Kluyveromyces lactis: one gene and its partner. The protein of the gene in region 2 purifies or fractionates together with the protein of the main gene of each other region. This does not show direct contact. Links are inferred from orthologs where the notes say so. Each region holds a gene or a part of one and is shown on either strand. Other genes may lie near its edges.

What was found.
Region 1: the proteins of ATP3 (region 2) and ATP5 purify together in Saccharomyces cerevisiae (affinity purification with mass spectrometry; 3 studies listed by BioGRID). This does not show direct contact. The link is inferred for Kluyveromyces lactis from reciprocal best matches to the Saccharomyces cerevisiae genes ATP3 and ATP5.

The regions. Positions count from the first base shown.
Region 1 is NC_006039.1:883,726-895,234, reverse strand, and holds ATP5 (F1F0 ATP synthase subunit 5), read right to left. Parts: upstream 4,632-11,509; coding exon 4,011-4,631; downstream 1-4,010. Other genes in the region: GTPase-activating protein NEL1, read right to left, coding at 1-213; MHR1 (mitochondrial 54S ribosomal protein mL67), read left to right, coding at 640-1,299; SUR2 (sphingosine hydroxylase), read left to right, coding at 2,176-3,195; rRNA-processing protein BFR2, read left to right, coding at 5,532-7,112; ERC1 (Erc1p), read right to left, coding at 7,220-8,845; PIH1 (Pih1p), read left to right, coding at 9,203-10,204; PRO1 (glutamate 5-kinase), read right to left, coding at 10,335-11,509. UniProt on the Saccharomyces cerevisiae protein: Mitochondrial membrane ATP synthase (F(1)F(0) ATP synthase or Complex V) produces ATP from ADP in the presence of a proton gradient across the membrane which is generated by electron transport complexes of the respiratory chain.
Region 2 is NC_006038.1:598,976-610,452, forward strand, and holds ATP3 (F1F0 ATP synthase subunit gamma), read right to left. Parts: upstream 6,227-11,477; coding exon 5,357-6,226; downstream 1-5,356. Other genes in the region: CST26 (putative acyltransferase), read left to right, coding at 1-1,108; long-chain fatty acid transporter FAT1, read right to left, coding at 1,179-3,206; FIG1 (Fig1p), read right to left, coding at 3,536-4,429; inositol polyphosphate kinase KCS1, read left to right, coding at 7,719-10,403; DAD1 (Dad1p), read left to right, coding at 11,400-11,477. UniProt on the Saccharomyces cerevisiae protein: Mitochondrial membrane ATP synthase (F(1)F(0) ATP synthase or Complex V) produces ATP from ADP in the presence of a proton gradient across the membrane which is generated by electron transport complexes of the respiratory chain.

The DNA of each region.
Region 1 (11,509 bases), on a different chromosome or scaffold from region 2:
TGAATCTCTTGAACATAAAAAATTCGCAAACCCTCCACAGATTTTACAATTGGTATAATTCTCACTGCTTGCTAGGCTTGAATTCCCGTCAATTGTCAAGTCCGGCTCACAAATGGCACTTATCGATCCACGGTTATCATCTCCACAATCGAGAACTCTAGCTAAGCAATCTGTCCGGGACGTAGGAACGGCTCCATAATTCAATTCAAACATCAAGTTCTAGATGGTGGAATATGCGGACACTTGACGGATGAAGGTGATAACTCTACTGTGCGTGTCTGCTGATAGGAAAACCTTTCTCTGGAGATGAGATCCAAGATAAGATAGAGCAGGTAGCGGAGAATTCAATATCATCACAAGATCCGGGTAATGTATATATTAGGTTCATTCTCTTTAATTTTCAGTGTTTCTACGAAGTTGTTTATGGCATCTGAAAAAGCTGAAAAATTTTGAAAAAGAGAAAGCTGATAGTTAGTTTAGCTTGATTACAGAAGAGATCACCACATTTGTGCACACATTGTATTTAAATAACTCTTCAGAAGTCCATCAATAGCACTGGAGATAGAAGAGAACTCTGAGGATCAAGGCTTTTGTTGTTAACAAATAAGGCTTGAAGACACCATAGGGCACTAGGAAGAGATGAGCAAGCATTTAGCTATTACCAAGTTCCGTCCAGCCAACTGGCTACAGAAAGCAGGGTATGCACCACAAGTCTTTTTATTCAGAAACCTAGAGAGTGGACAAGTGCTGTACTCTCAATTCCCGACTTTTTCTTGGAAGCAAATTGATACCAATTTCCAAAGACCCAACTGGGAGAATAAGAAACCAAGCACCAGACGTGATATTTGGAAATGTATGGCTGTTGTTGATCTACCAGACTACGACAAGAGTGTAAAAGTATACCAGAATTTGTGCAGATTAAGATATCTCCGTGATGTGACATTCAGTAAACAGGCAAAAGACATGAGAAAGAAGAATGAGTCCGGCCACACATGGTACTCATCGCAATACAGACCAACATACTCTCAAGAAGCGGTTGCCGATTTGCGAGAATGTCTCCTAAAGTTGAAAGACGTCCAATCGTCCATTAAGGTCCATTGGGAAGACGAATGGAGAATGGGGGATAAAGAGAAATACTGGAACCCAGTATTGCCAGAGTTGAATCACACAACACTAGAACGTTTGGGGAACGTTTCCAGAGAGGAAAGTGCAATTTTGAAAGAACTAGGCGAAAGAGCCAAAGAAGAGTTCGCAAGAGTGAGACAACAGGAGTCAGCTGCTCAAAACATCTCTCTATGAGTTACAAAAGAAAACAAGCAAATACAAACTATTTCCAGTTGCAAAAGCTGAGCCGAGCTCAGATCTTTCACTGCTTCACTCGTCACGTCTTTAAGAAATCACTACATGTACATATATAACCCGCAGACAATCCGACTCTGTAAATAATATAAACAAACCCTCAGCTCACTACCGGCGTTTAACTGATTTGACAAGGTGATTACTAGCAGTTTTCTCCCTTGTTTCCATCATCACGTAACCTAAATATCAAAGGTTCTGTAATCATCATATTACTTCCTCTACTTTTCTACCGCTTCATACCATATGTGTCTCATGCATGCATTAACGCCTAACGGAAGAAGAAGCAGGAACCCGGACACCAAAGAAAAAGCAAAAAAAATGTCACATGACCAAATTTGAGAAACCTTAACACCGTTTCTCTGGTTTTCTCTGGTGTTTCTTTAACGACAATCCTGTTTTCCCTTAGAGGCTTCGGGTTTTTCTTAGTTTTTCTAGCATAACATGGTGTCGAGAATACAGAATTGCGTTATAAATGTATTGCGTTATAAGATCAGTGGTTGTATTTATACGAAGCGTATAGGCTAATGTTGGCATACCAAGCGAAGAAGGCTGCAATAATATTGAAAGGGTAAGGCTTGAGATTAGGTAAAAAGTTATTCTGGAGTTACTGTTTCTTTTTTTTTGATCATACTGAAGAGAGACAGCAACTATATAAAATACGAAGCAAGATACGAAATCAGATACACAAACTGATATTTGCAGTGTCATACAAAACTTATAAGTCCATTTATACTTGAGAGGAGCTGTTTTCTGTCGGATACAGTTCGAGGATAAGGAGATACAATATTTTGCGTGTGCTGTATCGGTTTTATAACTATGGCAAATATTGTTGAAAGTGCAGTGCAGCACTTGTATTTGCAGGTGAAAGATGCTATGGATGTGTCGTTTATGAATTCTAAAGCTCCACCTGCTTCTGTGATAACGAAGAAACAGGATATTTTGCCTTGGATTTCTGATGGGAAACTTGCCTTAGCACTACCTGTTGTTGCTTATTGGCTTTATTCGATGTTTTTCCATTACATTGATACCAATGAGGTTTTCGAACAGTACAGGATTCATCCAAGCGAGGAAGTACAACAGCGGAATAAGGCCTCAAGATTAGAGGTTTTAAAAGAGGTGATATTACAACATTTCATTCAAACATTTACTGGACTTGGTATGCTCTACTTGGATCCTGTGCCGACTTCAGGGTTTGAGAAGTATGAGATGTGGAAATGGAGGCAATCTTTACCCTTTTTCGTACCATCTGTTTTCATCAAGTTTATGTATTGCTATGGATGGTCTATGATAAGGATATTTATTGGGTTTTGTATCGTAGATTCGTGGCAGTATTGGCTGCATAGGGTGATGCATATGAATAAGACACTTTACAAAAAATTCCACTCACGTCATCATAGGTTATATGTTCCTTATGCGTACGGTGCATTGTACAATTCCCCAGTGGAAGGTTTCCTCCTTGACACTTTGGGTACAGGCATTGCTGCAATCGTGACACAATTAAATCATACAGAACAAGTTGTTCTATACACTTTTGCTACTTTGAAAACAGTGGACGATCATTGCGGATATGCTTTGCCCCTGGACCCATTCCAGTGGTTGTTTTCAAATAATGCAGTGTATCACGACATTCACCATCAGTCTTTTGGTATCAAGTCCAATTTTTCTCAACCATTCTTTACCATATGGGATAAGTTTTGTGACACCAAGTATCATGGATTTGAAGAGTATGAGAAAAAACAAAGACGTGTCACCATTGACAAGTACAAGGAGTTTTTGAACAAAAGAAAACTCGAACACCAGGCCAAGTTAAAAGCTATGAAAGAGAAGATGTCATAGTTTTCTTATCTTCTGCATATATCCTACATCAATGTTTCACTTCCAATTGTTTTTTTTTAACGTTTCATTGTTATCTCTTTTCTCCTAGAAAAAGGATCAATCACCGTCATTTTCTTGTGATCACATATGCTTATTAGCATCCTTATAATTGTGATTATCAGTATTACTATTTACTTTACTACTGGCGTTAGAACCCACCCCTTATTCGTTTTACACATTTTCTTTCAGATTTTGTAATGAAGTTAGTTAATTTTTGTAATGAGGTTTAAAGAACTCAATCTTTTTCTGCATCCACTCTATCCTTAATCGATTCATTATACTAAATTGAATAGTGTTCTGAAAGTTATACTTTATTTCAACATCTATTTATGAGTTTGTATTTAAACTGACTCGAAAATGGTTGGTTTAAGTAAACAAAGCAATCCAATGAGACGACTAAGGATTAAAGAATCGACTTTTGAATCTTTTCGTTGTGTATTTGCTCTATACATATACGATCGTAATAAAATTTTTTTGGCACGAAGCGCGAAGAATGTTAATAGTTTAATAATGTTTTAAAGTTACTTGTATCGGTAAAAAGTGGACGTCAAGTCATCATGAAATCGTGAGAGAAAAAAAAAAGAAGTATCGTTGAAATATAAAATCATAGTTCAGATGTGAATCGTTTATTAATCACGTTCTATTCACTGTGTGTAGTTTATAGAACACATATTTCTCCCTTGAGAAGGGAAATAAAATTGAAGATACCCCATACATGAAATTCATGATATATTTTCCTCGTTCATATAATTGATTTATAGGTTTTGGGATATCGTTTAAATAGCTTCTCTTAGAACTTGGTTCAACTTGTTGATTCTGGAAGCAATTGACAAATCGACGGTTCTGTCGGAAACTTCAACGATTAAACCACCTTGGATTTCAGGCTTGACAACGTTCTCCAATTTCAAAGACTTACCCTTACCAACCAAAGAGGAAGCAGCCAAGGCCTTTTCCACTCTCTTGAACAACTTAGAGTCCAAAGGTTGAGCAGTGGTAACAGTCGCTTGCACAAGACCATGGTAAGCATCAGTCAACTTGGAGAATTGGGAAGTGACATGTTCTAACAAGGATAATCTGTTGTTTTCAGCCAAAACCTTCAACAAGTTTTGAACGGATTGATCCAAATTGATTTTCTTGGACAAAGTGTCAACAACAATGTTTCTATCTTCAGCAGACAAGGCTGGGTTTTCCAAAATGCTGGTCAACTTGGTGTCCTTGGCAACAGTTTCCTTCAAAGCATTCAATGAGGAAGCAGCAGCTTCAACGGAAGTGGTCTTTGAGGCAGCAGTGAACAATGCAGTGGCATAGGTACCATCCAAACCGAACAATTGCACTGGAGGCTTAACACCAGCCTTGGCAGAAGCTGCCATAGAACGAACAAATACTCTGGAAAACATGACTCTGTATATAGTGGTCTCTTTGATTCAATAATTCAATGATTTTATGGTTATTCAAACAATTGGAAGAAAACTTGCTCAATAGATTAAATGAAGTTTAAAGCTTAAGATAAGGTTTGGTACAATGGCAATAACAAAACACACACCTAATCGGAAAAGAGAGACTTGTCTTAATCTGATCAATGCAGAATCACTAACAAAATAGCAAATACACTTAAAAAATACAAATAAGCTAACGTAGAACGAAAGCTTCTTTTCCTGTAAATTACAAATTTATTTCTTAAAGGTGTGGAAATATTGAAAGTTCAATAAATTTTCAATTTTTTTTCCTTCCTTTACCTATATTTTTTCAAAACTTTCTCTGTTTTTGATCGGATCCTCCCTCCTATGTGTTCTTCTTTGTCTCTGTTTCGTTTCTGCTCTTGTGTTCTTGTTCCGGCCAAAGAGGTCCAAAAAAAAAAAAAAAAAACACGATCTAAGTTCCTCAGTAGTCGTAGGAAACGATGACGTGTTTTCATTGGTTGCGAGTCACGTGGAAATTAAACACTATGCTTTCACTTTTAATAGATATATTTGACCTTAATAGACGCTATGAGGCTTCTTAAAAGTAATTTGTATTGGATATTTGGTGCATCGAGAGTTTGAGACTAAGAATCGCTATCTTACAATCACGTGATTTAATAATAGCACGTGATCTATATATTTTCCTCTTCTTTTTGAAGATCCGAAAAGGTAATCTGGAGTTTCTTTTTTGTAGTTGAAAAATTCAAGAAAGTTGATGTTTGAGAGATGAGACGAGATGAGATGAGATGAGAGACTCTTATATGGATAAATCAGCTGTACTCAATAGTGAGTTGTAAGTGAGGACGGTGAAGTACACGTAAAATACACGCAGATTAAATGGGTAAAAAGTCTTTGGCCGAACAAATCGCAGACATTGCGAATAAACCACAAGTTGAAGATTTCGACATTGAGAATGATGAAGGTGTATTTCAACATGGTGGGTCCGATTCAGATGTTAGTTCTGGCGATGAGAGCGAAGAAGAGTTGAAGAAACAGCATTATGTGGCAGTAGGAAAGTCAAAACTTAGAAATGTGGTCGATCAAGGATTGGCCGTAAAGGATAAGAAATACGTCGGGAGCAAAGGGTCTAGAGCAGAACTGTTCAATGACGAAGAAATGGACGCTCCTGAACAAGGAGAAAGTGAGTCTGAAGCTGAATCCGGATCTGAAGAGAGTGATGCAGTATCCTTTAGAAGCGATTCAGAAGATGTATCCGAATCTGAAGCCACTTCCGAGTCAGAAATAGAGAAAGATAGAGAGGAAGATGAGGAGACTGCGATGAAGAAAGAGAAATTGGCCAAGATAGTACAGACGCAAACTAAACAAGTGATTAATAATTTAGCACATTCCGCTCAGAGAGATGCTTCCAAAGGTTATGCCATCTTACAACAGAATAAATTCTTCGATAAAATTCTAGACTCTAGAATTAAGTTGCAAAAAGCATTATCCGCTTCAAACCAGTTACCACTTTCTCAACAATCTTGGGATGAACTTCTAGATGAAAATAACTCCAAATTGCTAACTAGTACTTTCAAAGTTTTAGAGAAAGTTTTGACCCAGTGTGTTACAGTAAGGCATAAATTCCAAATCGGTGATCACATAAACCAATCTGAGAACCCTTCTGACTTCGATAACAGCAAAAAGAGAAGTTTTAAGGAACTAGTACATGAAACTGTAACATTGGATTCTGATTTAAAATCATACCGTTCTGCCGTACTTAACAAATGGTCAGCAAAAGTTTCTGCATCATCAGGAAAATCTCTTCTGCAAGCCTCCAAGTTTAAAGCGATCAACCAGTCAGCTGATGTACAAGTGGATAACCAACTTGCTGATATGCCAAGATTACTTAAAAGGACAAAACTCAATAGAAGCAATACTAAACCTTTGTTGTTTGATGAAGATTTACAAAAAGGTCTACTAAAAGAATTGCAACTGGAGGAAAACGTAGAAGGAGACATCGAAGAAGAAAATAATTTGGATATTCCAAAGAATTACGATCCAAGAAGGAAGGATAACAATGCATTAGATTTTACCCAAAACCCATATATCTATGATGACGAAGATTTTTACAGAGTTTTGTTGAATGATCTTGTTGAGAAAAAAATATCTAACTCTCAACAATCCAATGGTGTTACTTTGGCCATCACTTCTCGCTCTGAAAACAAGCTCAAGAAAAACATCGACACCAAGGCTTCAAAGGGTCGTAAACTAAATTACTCTATTCAAGAACCAATTGCCAATTATGAAGCATCAGTTAATACTGGGTATAAATGGTCGGATGAGCAAATTGATGAATTCTTTGCTGGTTTATTAGGTCAAAAGATCAACTTCAATGAAGACGATGAATTGGAAGCTGACACGATGCACAACGAGGAAGACGAAGAGATCAAAAATGACGATATTCAAATTTTCGGATAATTTGGAGTTCGACCTTCAACTTGTATTTATTTTTCATCTATTGTTTATTATTATAATTAAAATATGTACACGGCATTCAAAATGTCCAACAAACTGACATCGACAAATCAAACATCGATAATATTGCTCATGTTACTTGCCATACTCTCTAAGTCAACCTCATTTTCTTCTTTTTCTCTTCTATGGCATTCTTCCACTATGTTTTCCCAATTGGAATTGAAAACACAATAGCTCAAAGCAAACGCCAGTAATAAGATCCCGGTACCGCATCCGTACCAAAGCCCTTTTAATCCCAACTGAAATTTACCAAAAGTTAGCCATCCACTTAAAGGCAATGCGATAAAATAGTATGCTATGATATTTAACAGGCTGCCAACTTGCTGCCGTCCTTGTGCACGTAATATCGCAGCGCTAAAAGTTGTGAATGCATCATATAATTGGTTAACTGCCAAAATTGGAGCGACATGACGATATAACTCAACGACCTCTTTGTCTTTAGTGAACAAATACGCTAAATTCTTGTCACCTGTTAAAATCAAACAACAATTCGCAATCCCTACAAACGCTGCTATCACGTACGACGTATTAATACAGATCTTCGCGTTGTTGACCGATTCTGTCCCAACATAATTAGCAACCCTTGTGGAAACTACGCAACCCATTGCGAATGGGATTTGATATATCAAAGATCCTATGTTCGATACGACTGATTGTGCTGCTATAGCCTTGACACCGAGATATGTAGACATAATAGTCAATACTTCGAAAGAAAGGTACTCTGCTTCAATCATGAGTAAACCAGGAAATGCCAAATTCCACATAGGTTTCCAGCTGCAAAATAATCTTTTAAAGTGGAACATTGAAGAGAACATGGGATACCAACAAATCAGAGTTTCCTTTCTCCAAAATTTGCAATAAACCAGTAGCATTAAGGCCATAAACCAGTGCGATATGGCGATACCTAGAGGAGCACCAGCATATCCAATGTAACGAGTAAATGAATACACTAGAATAATATTAACTGGAACTGTAATCAACAAGGAGTATGTTCCTGCTTGGAAATGGCCCTGTGATTGAAGGAATCTCTTACCAGTTTCGAAAAAAATCAGCCCTGGCAACCCAAACGATATTATTCTCAAGAAAAGTTGTATCTCTGGGAGGATATCCTGTTCAGCAATCACATAACCTAACCATGAAGCACTGAACCACCATGATATAATCACAGGGAAAATACCTGTCATTATCATCGCTGCACAACGGAATGAATATAAACCAACTTTTGCATATTTCTTGGCACCATACGCTTGTGAGCAAAAGGTATCCAAAGAAGTGGCCATACCCTCCACAAATGCTAAACCAGTAATATTGTAAGTCATTACCGCCAAAGATGCGGAAGCTAAGGCATCACTTGATTTACAGACATGACCGATGACAAATAAAGAAATAATAGCCAAAGAGTATTCCATTAGAAAAGTTAATGTAATTAGAGCGGAGTTGCTTAAGATATAGGAGACTTCATTCCTAGAGCTTGTTGGGGCAGTAAGATCCTCTATGAAGTCTTCGTCAATAAAGTCATCGCGATCTGCATCTGGACTCATTAGTCGATATCGATTGTCTATGGCATCGCCAGAAGATGCAGATTCTCCATCACTTTCATATCTAGTATTGTCATTGATTGTATCGTATCGCGGTCTATCCATAGAGTCACAGAGATACTCACTCTCTTGATTCATGTCTAGTTGTTTCAACTAACCTGTAATGCCCTTCTTTATCTTAAAACCAGTTTGAATGTCCATTAACAGTGGAATGAAAAAAACTAATCTCCAGAATTAAAGGTATTAATACCCAAAATGTTGTATTGAGCCAGGCAGTATGGATTGAACGGCCACCGAGCACGTTCCGATGACACGAACCTTTTATTCGTCTTGGTGTACATATAATTGATCCTTATCTACGTTGAAAAAGCACTAGTTTTGATAATCGCTAATAAGAATTTGATTGTGAAATTCTATATTATCGCTTAGCAGATAACTGCGATAGGAACAAAAAAAACAAAAGAATAAGAAAGTACATACCGTCAATTAGGTGCAATGTCATTTCTTCTTCGACCATTGAATGATAGCAGCTCGAACAACTCCAACAACGTTATAAGAATAAGCCCAGAACCATGTTTTGTCGTAAAATCTAAGGTAATAAACCCTGGTACTACATCGCTATCAAGCAATGCAAAGATATTCATCAACATTTGCCATAATGACCAGATACCCTTACCTGAAATCGATTTCAACCCCGCCATAGTATATCCCCTAATAATCAACAACCAATGGGAAATACCAATCGTAACCTCCTCAATAAGGGAGGATGTTGACAAAAAGGGCAACGTCTGCTACGTGAGCGATTGTTGTATAAACACCAAATGCGTTTCATGGATCCAGCATGATTTACAACTAAGAGAAATCGTAGTTGAATGGTGCTTAGAATCCTGTGAATTGCGAGCGGAGCTCGAAATATCAAGGGATAATATAAGTTTCCCTAAGCTGAAGAAGAAAGGTGATACTATACCTGAACTAGAAATACTGCGAGAAGACCTAACAGAGAATTATGAAGAAACCATCAATGATTTGGTAAATAGGGAACAAAAAGAACCTGTTAGTATTATCGAAAAGAGGCGAGACTTTCTTGCAGAAGACGAACCTTCGACGGGTGAACTGCCGCCATTAATTCCTATCGACCAATCTTCCCGTAGAAAACCTTTAATAGAGGAAATCGAGGATCTTTCACTGCATGAAACCAAGAAACCCAAGGTTGAAGAAATACAAAAAAAAAGTATATCATATGAACTTAGTATGGGCAAACCCAAAGACACCTCAGAGTTTCTCTTAAAGATAGAAGTGACCTCGGAGCTTAACTCTAGTCTTGATTACAATATCAAATATGATGCTAAAAGTAATAAACTCATCATAAAGAATACTAATCTAGGTATTTATCCCGAGAAGAAACTCAAGGTTCCATTACCTGATATATTTAATAATCCTCCAAAATTAGAGTGTTTCTTTGTGAAGCCTGAGCGCAGATTAATAATATTTTTATAAAATCTCAATATGGCCGTATATATATATAAATTGATGCAAGATGTTCGATTATCTATATATGCTTTTATTAAAGGGCTACGTGTATGAGAGTTAAACGTAACATGTAAAGTATATTTTCATTCACTTTAGGTTAATGAGGAGGGAATGCTAAATTTTCCCTATGAGCTACGTATTCACTATCAGCATAGCCTAGAATATCTTCAATCTGATCACTTTGCAGACCTTTAATTTTTGATAACTCTGTGCTTGTATAGTTGCAACGAGCCCTACCTACTGTTTTCAGTGCAACGGATTTATCCAAATTTCCATCTGAATCCCTGACTCCCAATTTTATATCTATACATTCATGTTCATGGAAGCTCCCTTGGACTTCAATAACGCCTGCAGGTAACAAACCAGCTTTGTTTTTCCTCGTTAACGCTTCGTATGCACCAATGTCTATAATTACAGCGCCTTGACTGACGAGTCCATGAAGCATCCAGAATTGTCTGTTCTTCAAGTGATGATGATTACTATTGGCAATAAACCTAGTATGAAGAGGAACATGATTATTAACTAAACTTTGCATCTCAGTGAGTTGTAGGTCAGCCAAATCTTGTGTAAGTTCATTCACGCCATCGTCCCTTTCCTGCATGTAGAGAACAATTTTGGAAATGTTTTCTGGAGTGTCGCTCTTCATAATGATGGTATGGACACCAGCATTGGTTGCTAATTCTGCCGCAATAAGCTTAGTCTTCATACCACCAGTTCCAACATCTGATCCAGATCCACCGTCTGTGTTCACACCTGGCAATCCTTGTGATATATCTGGAACAACCAAGATAGGTTTTGCATCGGGATTTGCTCTTGGATTATCAGTGTATAAACAGTCAACATCTGTCAATAAAAATAGATAATCAGCACCAGTCAACGCTGCTGTGATAGCTGATAATGTATCATTATCACCAAATTTGATTTCGCTCACAGATAAAGTGTCATTCTCATTAACGATTGGCACTACTCCCATGGAAAGTAATTCACTAATAGTATTCTGTGCATTCTTATACTGAGTCCAATCAACAATGTCATTTCGAGTAATTAGGATTTGAGCAATTCTCTGATCAAATTCAGAGAACAAGGAATCCCACCTCCCAATTAATCTGCCTTGGCCCACAGCTGCGATTGCTTGCACCTTGGATAGTTTCTTTGGCCTTCCCTTCATATTCATCGTTTTCAATCCGACGGCGATACCTCCACTAGATACAATGATAACTTTGTGTCCTCTTCTGCGTAACTTTACCACAGTCTCCACAATCAATGACATGA
Region 2 (11,477 bases):
GATCAATGCATTTTACAGTAAGAACCTTTCCACAAGGCAGAAGTTAATGGATCTAACGAAGAAACGGTTCATTCTTCTATTGGTGACCATTCTATCGTTGGTGGCGCCTTCCCATGTGAGGATAACAACCGACAATGAATCGATACCGAAGGGAACCATATATATGGATCATCATAAGGGCAGGTTAATATCCAAAGCTAATTCCAATGCAGTGGTTATAGCTAATCACCAAATTTACACTGATTGGGTGTTTTTATGGTGGTTAGCATATGTGTCAGAAAGGGCTGGTAACGTTTACATTATGTTGAAGAAATCATTAGAGTCGATACCACTTCTGGGAAGCGGTATGACAAATTACAAGTTTATATTTATGAATAGAAAGTGGGAACAGGACAGAATCAATCTATCAAATAAATTGCACGAAATAGATTTGGATGCTCGTGGGGTCGGAATCATTGCTGGGAACTCTCCAACGACTAAGACAGAGGAAGGACTTAACATATGGGACGAGGCGAAAGTGGAGAAGAAGGGTGAGCAATGGCCATACTGGTTAATGTTGTTCCCAGAGGGCACAAACCTTAGCGCTGGTACCCGTGCTAGAAATAAGGCATTTGCAGAAAAATCAGGACTTTCTCCATTTAAACATGTTCTACTACCAAGAACCACTGGATTGAAGTTTTGCTTGCAGAAACTTCGCAACAGTTGCGAGTACGTTTATGATATTACAATTGCATATTCAGGCGTTAGAGCTGAAGACTATGGACAAGACATTTACAAACTAGGAAACATATTCCTCAAGGGAAAAGCTCCAAAATTGGTGGACATCTATATCAGAGCGATCAGATTAGACGATATTCCACTTGAAGATGATGATGAATTCCATTCTTGGCTTTTTAGTGTCTGGAACCTCAAGGATAAGTTGCTAGATAATTATTACAAAACAGGAAGTTTCCAACTAGATCCTGATCTTAATCATGCTGTAACAGGACCCTGCAGAGTTAGCATTTTATCCCTTGTTTCCATTTTGCTCTTCCCTGTCTTAACGATGCTTCCCATCTTTTACTATATAGGGAAGAAGGCAACTTCTTTAGTATCTAAAGATTCATAGTCATTAAGCATTTCAAATAAATTTACTATTTACTTATTATGATCATATTTTATTTGTTATATTTACCTCTCTATATCTTATTTGTGCCATTCGAAATTTCCTTCCAATCCTCATCGGAGAGTACTTGATAGTTCCCATAATTGCATAACCAGAATAAAGTTTCGGAGCCATCCTCTCCATGTGGAAGAACCTTATTTCTATAAAGGTTTTTTGCTACCTTGTGAGTATGCGTTAGTTCGATTTTATCTGCAAATTCTACGAATATTGGTAAGGCGTATTTGGGTAGGTTGTCTTTCAAATGCGGCAATAGATTGTTGAGCAAATCGAGTTTGCCTTCAATAGAAATATTTGGGTCTTGTAATCTCAAAATTGCAAAGCCAGCTCTTCCTTCGTTGCTCGGAAGCTTCACACCGACAACAACAGCTTCCAATATGATAGTTTTTGTGAAGGACATTATTTGATTTTCAACTTCGGTAGCGGAAACGTTCTCAGATTTCCACCTGAAGGTATCGCCCAATCTATCCATGAAATACCATAATCCATTGGCATCAGCCTTTAACAAATCACCAGACCTGTACCAAGCGTCCCCTTTGCGGAAAACATCTCTAATGACCTTTGATTCAGTGTCTTTTTTGTTCCCCATATAACCTTGAAAAGAAGTTTCAGGCTTTTTTGGAACAAAAATCCTCATTAACAACTCTCCTGGTTGACCAACTTCCGGTGTTTCAGCAAATCCTCTATCATTTCTATAAATAATGGTTTCATCATCGGGGTTAACTTTCACCAAACACTGCTGAATTGACAAGACCATACTGACGAAAGGACCATAATTTCTACAGGCACCGATACCAAAATCACCACGTTGTAGAGAAGTGGTCGCAAATGGAGATTCAGTTGAGGCATAAAATTCTCCAATTATCTTAATATTGAACCTTTCTTTAAACTCTTTCCAAATATCCGTTTTCAAACCATTCCCGTATGCAATCTCTACGCGGTGCTGTTTCTCGTAGGAACTCACCGGAGAATTCAATAAGTAACGGCAAACCTCCCCGACATACTGGATATGAGTGGACTCGGTCATACAAACTTGTTTCCAGAATGTAGATGTCGAGAACTTGTTTGAAATGGCAACACAACCACCATGGGCAAAGATTGCACAGACTCCTAACAATGCTGCAGTTGAATGATACAATGGCATTGCTGTAAAGACCGTCTTGCCTTGAGTGACACGCATTATCCTACCAAACAATGAACAACCGATTGTTGATTTTCTCCAAGACATAATTGCTGGTTTAGGAAGGCCAGTGGTACCTGAAGTGTATATTAGCATTGCAGCTTCAAAATCTTTTGCCGATTGAGAGGACCGAATACCGTCGTCCACTCTTAGAGTAGGGTACTTTTCATTGAGTAAAACATTGTTGAATAGCTCGTCTTCATTGATGTAATGCAACTGGGTATGGGGCAATACTTTTCTCAAGTCTTCTTCTGTTTTTTTCATAGGTTCTCGAGCTTGTGGATCAATGAACACTTGGCTAATATTCGAGGTTTGAATGCAATGAATTAAAGGTTGACCTAAAATATTATAATTTAAGAATGCAGGAGTGGCACCAAGGTTCCATAACGCAAACCATAGGAATATAAACAGTGGTTTGTTTGTAAAATTCAATGCCACAAAATCTCCAGGTTTCACCTGATGTACATTAAATAAATAATGCGACAACCTTAAAACGATATTGTAAGTTTCCAGGTAAGTAAATTGTTGCAACTCGAAATCGCCTTTTACAGATAGAGGCTTGGGGTAGCTAATTGCCAAACCTTGAGGAGCCTTCCTTACCTGAGCTTCAAATACGTACCAATATTGGAATCTATTGCTGTACACTGACCAAACATACTTGAAAACGCTCGTAATAAAATATGTGACAATGTGATAATCATCTCTCCATCGGTAGTTTGGATCCAAACGATTCATTATCCCTGCTGGGAACAGCTTCCGTAGTAGAGACGTAACCAGTTTGCATGGGATTAAAATAAACCGTACTATTGTTCGGAATATTAAGAAAAGCAGCTGAGTACTGGCGAAATTGTTGTGATCTGACATTGTCTTCGCTAGTAAAAGCGTGCTAACGACGGTTGAACAGTTCAGTCTATAAAACCTTTACTCAAACGGTAACAATTGCTTCTAAGATTGGTTTGGATACTGTTAAATTGCTTCCCTTTTTTATCCAGTTAGTTTTGTAGATATATGAATTCGAACTTATGAGAATTTATAGAAACTTGGAAATTCATTCAACATACATTTAAATAAAGATATAAAGAAACTGCAAACTTATAATAACGTTGGGACCAGAAACACATCTTTAAAATACGATATAATCATTCGCAAAGTGCATATAATATTAGGAAGTGCAATGGCTGCGTTGGCTTCTATCATACACTGCTTAAAGTTGTATCTGATGCGTATTTATTCGAGAACGGGTTTTTGGTTGACTTAACGTCATCCAGCTTCTCGTCGAGCTTCTTTCTATCTCTAAAGTATACCATCCACATTATCAAGCAGTCTATGAGCATGAATGTAAATGCAGTCCATGACAGAGCCTGTGATTTACTTCCTTTTTCTGCTGTCATTATATTCATCGATGCTCTTGGAATTAGGGATACATTGCAATTTATGGCAACGTGAGTCCATATGGCACCAATAGCCCATAACAAGGTGATCAATGCAGATAAACCCATGATAATAAACTGCACGTAATTTTTAAATGGCAATTTAGGTATGATTGCATATACTGTGATTCCAAACAACAAAATTGTGAAAATGGTAACAACCATCAATAAATAAGGATGCACCAGTTCGTCAGAATTTTGGTGAGCTAACTCCAATATATTTAAATTACTGGACTCTGATTCTTCTGTGGAGTTGGAATTCTTGAAACTGAAAATCTTAATCGTCAAATCGTCAAATATGTCCATGTCATCTACCTTCTTCCTGTTGAAACAAACCTTAGACGATTTGCTCGAGGAGTTTCTGTCATAATTCGATGGGATGTTATTGATACATATCCCCATATACCCTGAAAATATTTGAACGTTTTCTAATCCATCAGTATATTCCTGTGAACTGAACTGATTTGAAATGACTGGATATAGGGGAGATTTATCGTTGAATTGATATTTCACCAAATACGTTGAACTCTGATCGACGTTGTAACAACCCACTAATAAAAATACCAATAAAAATACTGAAATAAAAGAAGTAATTAACACCAGCACCCTAGGAATACGTTTTCCTAGCTTATAGAATAAGGTGAATGGTAGAAACATAATGATTTTGTATTTATCAGTGTTTTGTTGAAGGATGCTAAGTTACACCTAACTGTACTAGAAAGTAAATTGAAACTAAAAGCTCATTGAAAGTTTGCAATATGAATGCATCTGGTTATATACGTTTAATGAACTGAAATAATACTGCATCATATCTGATAATCTTGTTCCAGTATTCAAGTGTTTCAGTGTTTTTTAACAGTGATACAGATATGAAACAGACCTGAATCGACTATGAATGACAGAAGACATGCGCCAATGCAACCTCATAATACATAGGAGAGGCGAAGGGGGATTCGCATTGAATATATCTGTTTTAAAAGAGTCATACAAATATGGTACATACGTAGTGATAATGGCAGTATACAGTAGAAATCTGAGGCCAGACGAGAGTGTTGTTGAATGAAATGCGAAAGTCCGAATATGTAAACTTGACACTCGATCGAACAATTGCCTTCATTGGAAGTGGCTCAAAACAATATGTGCGATATGAGTAGAACCTTGAAAGAGGCCAATATTAGTTTCTTATAATAATTCTTTATCGCCATTTGGAAATGTAAAGGCGTAAACGTCTTCATAGCCCTCTGAGAGAGATATTTAGTGAAATAAATCTCAAAGTAGTTTTTTTAATTGTTGTTAAGTTCTTCAATTCATAATCATAAAATATAGAAATGATGTCTTAGAATGATAATTTAAGGAAACCCAATGATAGTTTAACATTATAATACCAAATAATATATCATTTTCATTGATAGAGGTGGAAAATAGGTGTAAGTTTAGAAAAAAAAAGAGGCAGAAAGGGTGATAAGGAACTGCGATTGTAGAGGGGATGAGGATGCTCTTTCCTCTTCAGTATGAAGGTTCCTGTTTAACTCTTTCCAGCTAATTTAGTGATAAATTAAAAGTATTCTTTTCTTCATATTACGTTTAATCCAAAGAAGAAGCACCAGTAATAATATCAACCAACTCGTTGGTGATAACGGCTTGTCTGGTTCTGTTGTATAAGATGGAGTAACTGTTAATCATGTCACCGGCGTTCTTGGAAGCGTTATCCATAGCGTTTCTTCTAGCAGAGACTTCAGCAGCATAACCTTCAGCCATGGCAGCCAAGATTTCGTTGGATAAAGTGAATTCGAACAAATCTTGAGAAACGTTGTTGTCAGCATCGATTTCGAACTTGGAGAAAGAAGGAGATTGTTCAATGGCAGCAGCGTTGAAGACTGGCTTGTTAGAAGGTTCGAAGGACAAAGAAGAGATAGGGTCGTTCCAGAAGATCGAAACCTTCTTGTAATTGGAAGCACCACCTTCCAAGATCTTGTTAGCAATCAAAGAAGTTTCTTCAAAAGTTGGAGCTTCCTTACCAACACCATTGAAAGCGAACTTGAGGTTGTCAGAGTTGGTTCTTAGCAATTGACCCTTAACCTTGTCACCGATGGCAACAACATCAGCGTTTGGAGTTTGCTTCAATTGAAGTCTAACAGCCTTGGCCAATTGAGAGTGAATAGAACCACACAAACCTTTATCAGAAGTGATGGCAATGATCAAATCTTTCTTTTCAGCATCTTCCAATGGAACAGTTTCTGCGTTCTTGTAGAAAGCAGCATCGGCCAAGGCATACTCCTTAGCACTGTTCTTAGCTCTTTCAGCCTTGGACAATCTGGTAGAAGCAACGATCTTCATGGTCTTGGTGATCTTTTCGATGTTCTTGATAGACTTCAATCTGGTTTCGATTTCTCTCAAGGTTGCATAGTTTCTGGAAGTACCACGTACAACGGATGCAGTGTTTCTCACAAACATTGTTATTCGAATGTATATTTCTTACGTTGGGCTTGCGGGGTTGAACAAAGAGAACAGTTGAAAAGGTAGACTGGTCAACTCAATGCAAATACAATTCAAGTATTCACCGTGTGGAACGTTAATCAAATTATTCAAAATACACACTTGTAATAGTAAAAGAGTTAAAAAACCTCGAAATCGATATGTTTGAAAATTATTTCGAAGATTGGGAATTTCACACCGGGTCGTGAAATTCGAGGTATAAAGGGAGAAAGACGGGGGGCAGAAGCCAGGAGAGAATAGGGTGGGATAGTATAGGTTATTTGTAGCTAGTCTTGAGTAGAATGCTGCGGTTATGGAGTGAGAGAGTCAGCTTATATGGCCAGATATATACTCTAATTGAAGGGGCTCTGTGTATCTTTGAAGATGGAACGCCATTATATGGATCATCATATACGAGTCCAGCAATAAATTTTTGATTTCTGTGAGAATATAGCGGTCTTACCCGGACTTGTTATGTATTCCATGGTATCATTGGCGGAAAGTCACGTGATGTAACGACAGCTAGGGTCAAAAAAATAAAAATTCTCCGCGACGGGGAATTGAACCCCGATCTCGCACGCGACAAGCGCGAATTCTAACCATTAAACTATCGCGGATGTGGTAAAATCCAAAGAAAGCACTCACGGTGGGGGTCGAACCCACAATCTTCTGATTAGAAGTCAGACGCGTTGCCATTACGCCACGCGAGCATATTAATTTGGATGTTTGAAAAAAACATAATTTGATGGTGCATGCAAGGATGCTCACCACATGCTTCCGTTTCCCTTATTATTACAACTCAAAAAGGCATGCCAGGCAGGGGGAAAAAAAAGGAAATTTTGATGGTTATAATAAGGCACAATCTTCAATTTAAAACCATTACACACATGGGTTCAGATCCCCCACATGCAAAGACTGCTCCTCCCCTCTTTTCACCTTGACGCAAACCTTTTATTTATTCTCTCTCATCTCTATATTCTGTCTACATAAAATGAATTTAAACTACCGTTACTGAAAAAGGAAGAGTGTAGCGTGCAGGTGCTGCTGGACGTTATGTCATATCTTGACATTCGCATGTCAGAAATTAGGGCCACCTGCAGTTGAAACATCATTTAGAAATAGTGAACATCAGACATTTAGTATCTGTTCAATTTCTATCTCGATATCTATTCCATGTTCAATTTAATCAGTATTCAGTCTTTCGTTATAATTTTTTTTTTTAAAGCTTCTTGATCTAATATATCAATAAAGAAAAACAATCTTTCAATTCATCTTAATAGATATATCCTCAATCTGGCCCAATTATCGGTTCGCGCTGTTTGCCAGGTGAGCCAAAGAAAGCCAGTACTGTATTCATATTATTCTGTGATTTCATTCTCATCTGCGCTTCTCTTATCTCTTGTAACAGGACTCTTTTTTTTGTTATTATTTTGGTTTTCCAATCCTTTGTTACAGGCTGTTTTATAAACACATGGAGCAAGAGGTTAATGGCCTGCAGCAGCAGCAACAGCAACAGCAACAGATGCAAGTACAACGGCATGGCTCTAATGAAAATGCCGCACAACAGACCACTCTGGTTGCGGCTCACTTGCAGGATTTAAGTATGGACGATAGTTGTAACAAACAACGGCATCCTTCACCCCAAATTAGTGGTCAGAACCAGCAGCTGCAACAGCAGCAGTCTAGTAGGAACAGGAAGAGTTCTGTAATTCATGGTAGAAAAGCAGCTAATTACTTGAGAGTGTTCGATGATAAAGACTCAGATGTCTCGATTCCTGATCAAAGCCTAAGGAAGTATTCTGGTGGTGGCTTAGGCTCCAAATCTAATTCAAACTCAAATGAGACAGAGATCGCGCATGGTCCTAAATCGTTTATGAAGGTCAGCGTAGACCAACGACCTGTTTTGAAAAATACTAAGTCGACAGATTTGACAGATTTACATGAGCTGGAAGATGTGGATGCGACAGAAGGTGTTGCATTAGAACCAAAAACTTCCGCGTCCGCTATCTACTTAACAGATGAAGATCGTCACATTTTATCCAGTTATAAAGATATCTCTATAATTGATGAGAAAGATAAGACAAGTGTCAATCTCTTTGGCCCGGATGTAGTGGTGCCCCCTATTCATATCGGTGCTGCGAGAAATCACAAGGATGAAGAATATCCAAGGAAGTTAACTAATACAGCTTTAGAACAACAACGGCACGATGAACCGCTGAGAATTGAAAATAAGATACCAAGTTTCAATTCTAAGACAATTCCTGATGAAAGTGCTATCGCTGACGATGATGATGACGACGATGTTGAAGAACACGGTGATTTCCCCTTGGCGGTGGAATTGAAACCTTTCACGAACAAAGTTGGAGGGCACACTGCTATCTTTAAATTCAGTGAAAGAGCCGTCTGCAAAGCTTTGGTTAATACAGAAAATAACTGGTACGAAACCATAGAAAAGGAGCATCAAGAACTTCTTCAATTCATGCCAAGATACATCGGTGTATTGAACGTCAGACAGCATTTCCACACGAAGGAAGATTTCTTAGAAGAAATAGTTAACAATACAACCAAGTTCAAAGCGAATAATAATACTAATACCTCTAATGACAACTCGCATATTTCCAGTAATGATCTGAGGAATGAGAGAACACTTAATGACCAATCTAGAAGCTCATGTAATAGATTAGCATCACCTACATTCTTGTCACGAATGGAAGACATCAAAGAAGGGATTTCTACACTACCGGAAGTAGTGCTAGATGACAACAAGCATATTATACCCAATTCACTGTATCAACAATATTCTTCATCCCGGTCGACTTCAAACTCGCCTTCTAGTGCTCCAATAGATTCATTTTTGTCGTCTCGTTCTTTTGACGGAGGAGAGGTTTTTAAGGGTAATTCCAATCAAGGATCTGGATCAACTAGTGTCAACACAAAATTACAAGAATTGGTGGTCAAAGAAGCTTTCATGAGACGGAAACCCTCGGGTGTATGTTATAGTCCTCGTTCTTCACGTACTAGAACAGGATCTTCCTCGTCTCTAAAGGAATGTAAACACTCGAGATCTTCTTCCTCTTCTTCTAATAAGAAATCAAGAGGCCTGGGCAACGAACAATATTTACGGCGTAATTCTATGAAGCGAGCAGCCGTATCGACAAATAACGTATTAGATGTGAATCCTAGCAACTTGGAAGATGACGATATTATGTTTAAGTTGGACGATGATGTTCATGAATCAGATGTCAAATCTCCCGAACAACAACAAGGTGCCTTCAACCATGAATCTGTTTCCGTGGAAGAGACTTCGCATACTATTGTCTCTAAATTCATCTTACTCGAAGACTTAACTCGAAAGCTTAAGTGCCCATCAGTTCTTGATTTGAAAATGGGCACCAGGCAGTATGGAGTTGATGCCAAGAGATCCAAACAGCTGTCACAGCGTGAAAAATGTAAAAAGACTACTTCGAGGAAGCTTGGAGTGAGATTATGTGGGCTAAAGATTTGGGATAAGAAGCATAATTATTACATTACAAGGGATAAGTATTACGGTAGAAAGGTAAGAGTCGGTTGGCAATTTTCTAGAGTGTTAGCAAGATTCTTATACGATGGCGAGTCGAAAAGAAGTATCGTTAAGCAAATTCCTATCTTGATTCAACAATTAGATACTTTATACAGTGAAATCGCGAAGCTGAAATCATACAGATTGTACGGATCATCTTTGCTCTTATTTTACGATGGCGACAACCCTCAGAACAAACGATCTCGGGTGAAGGTAAACATTATAGATTTCGCTAGGTGTGTCACTGATCGTGATATAGAAAAGTCACTAGATCGTTTTAAGATTGCACCTCATTTCCCAAACAGAGAGGATCAGGGATTCCTTCGAGGTATAAAATCCTTGAAGTTCTATCTAGTTCATATTTGGAATTTTTTAACTAACGACGCCGCTATGGTCCAACATGGAGAGCAGCTAACGCAGTTTTTGGAAGATAATATAGACAAATTCAATTCCAACTGGGACTGGCTAGATGAATACGATAAAGAAGATGACGCCGAGGCCTGCAATGCGGAAAGTCCTTTGCGCGTAAAATGGCGGAAATATGAATTGATCTTTGACATTGAGCCCAGATACGCTGATGACGAAGTCAGCGACTAAGGCCAATCATTTGAATAAGAACCAAATTTTTTTACTCTCAATTACAACTACATCCAAACGACATATTCTTGTTAGTGCAATACAGCTTCAGCATAATTTATATATAAGCTTGTACGTAACTACCGTGTAAGTATAATTCGGTTTTTGCTTTGCAGCTAAGGCTAAAAGTCATAGGTTTTAGCATTGTTACCTGGTGGAAAGTTGCGGGCTACACGAGTCGATTGTTGTGGTTTGTATTTGTTTGAACAACGATAGGGTTATATCGATATAATTTTTGAAGATCGGATAACAGAACTTAAATTGTTCAAGACTGATAAGATTTATTCTCCCAGCTTAGAGAGACTAGCCAAGAGTTGAAGATGCCTTGGCCAGCCAAATATACTGGTTGATTTTTACTTGCCCTTTTACGCTAAAGAAACTTTCAAGAACTATGTAATATGGTGAAAGAGTAAGCATTCAATAACTTTTTCCATTTTATATCCGAGAGAACATCGGTAGGGTAAGCTGAATATGATGTGAAAGGGCAGTCAGTCGTATTATATAGCTTGGCGTGAGATGAAGATCGTTTGCTAATCCAGGTTACCAGTATTTCGCTTAAAATTAGTGGTTTCTTACATTTGCTATGTCTTTCAAACGTCTGTATATGTGCCAATGATAATCCTTGCCGGTAACATCTTGATTTCATATTTGAAGGTAAATTGGCAGTGAAGATTCAAATACCGCAGATCGCGATATTCGCCTATTTTAATGTCTAATTGAGCTGCTAAATGTTCCAATTACCTAAGCTTTGGAGCCAGTTGGTTCTCAGCGATACACCAGGTTTCTGTCATCAACGACTTAGTATCTTTATGAGAAGCGGACAGTTTTATTAAAACATTTAGATCATGGAAATACACGAAAAAGGTAAACTGATATGCATTGTATATCGAGGGTCATCGGAAAATAACAGGAGTCCCGATTTGCATACACTGAGGGCCCAACATATAGCAAGCAGCAATGACAGAAGAGGTTCAACAGCTATCGACAGGCGACAAATATTTCATCGAGCAAAGAAGTCTGATATTACAAGAGATC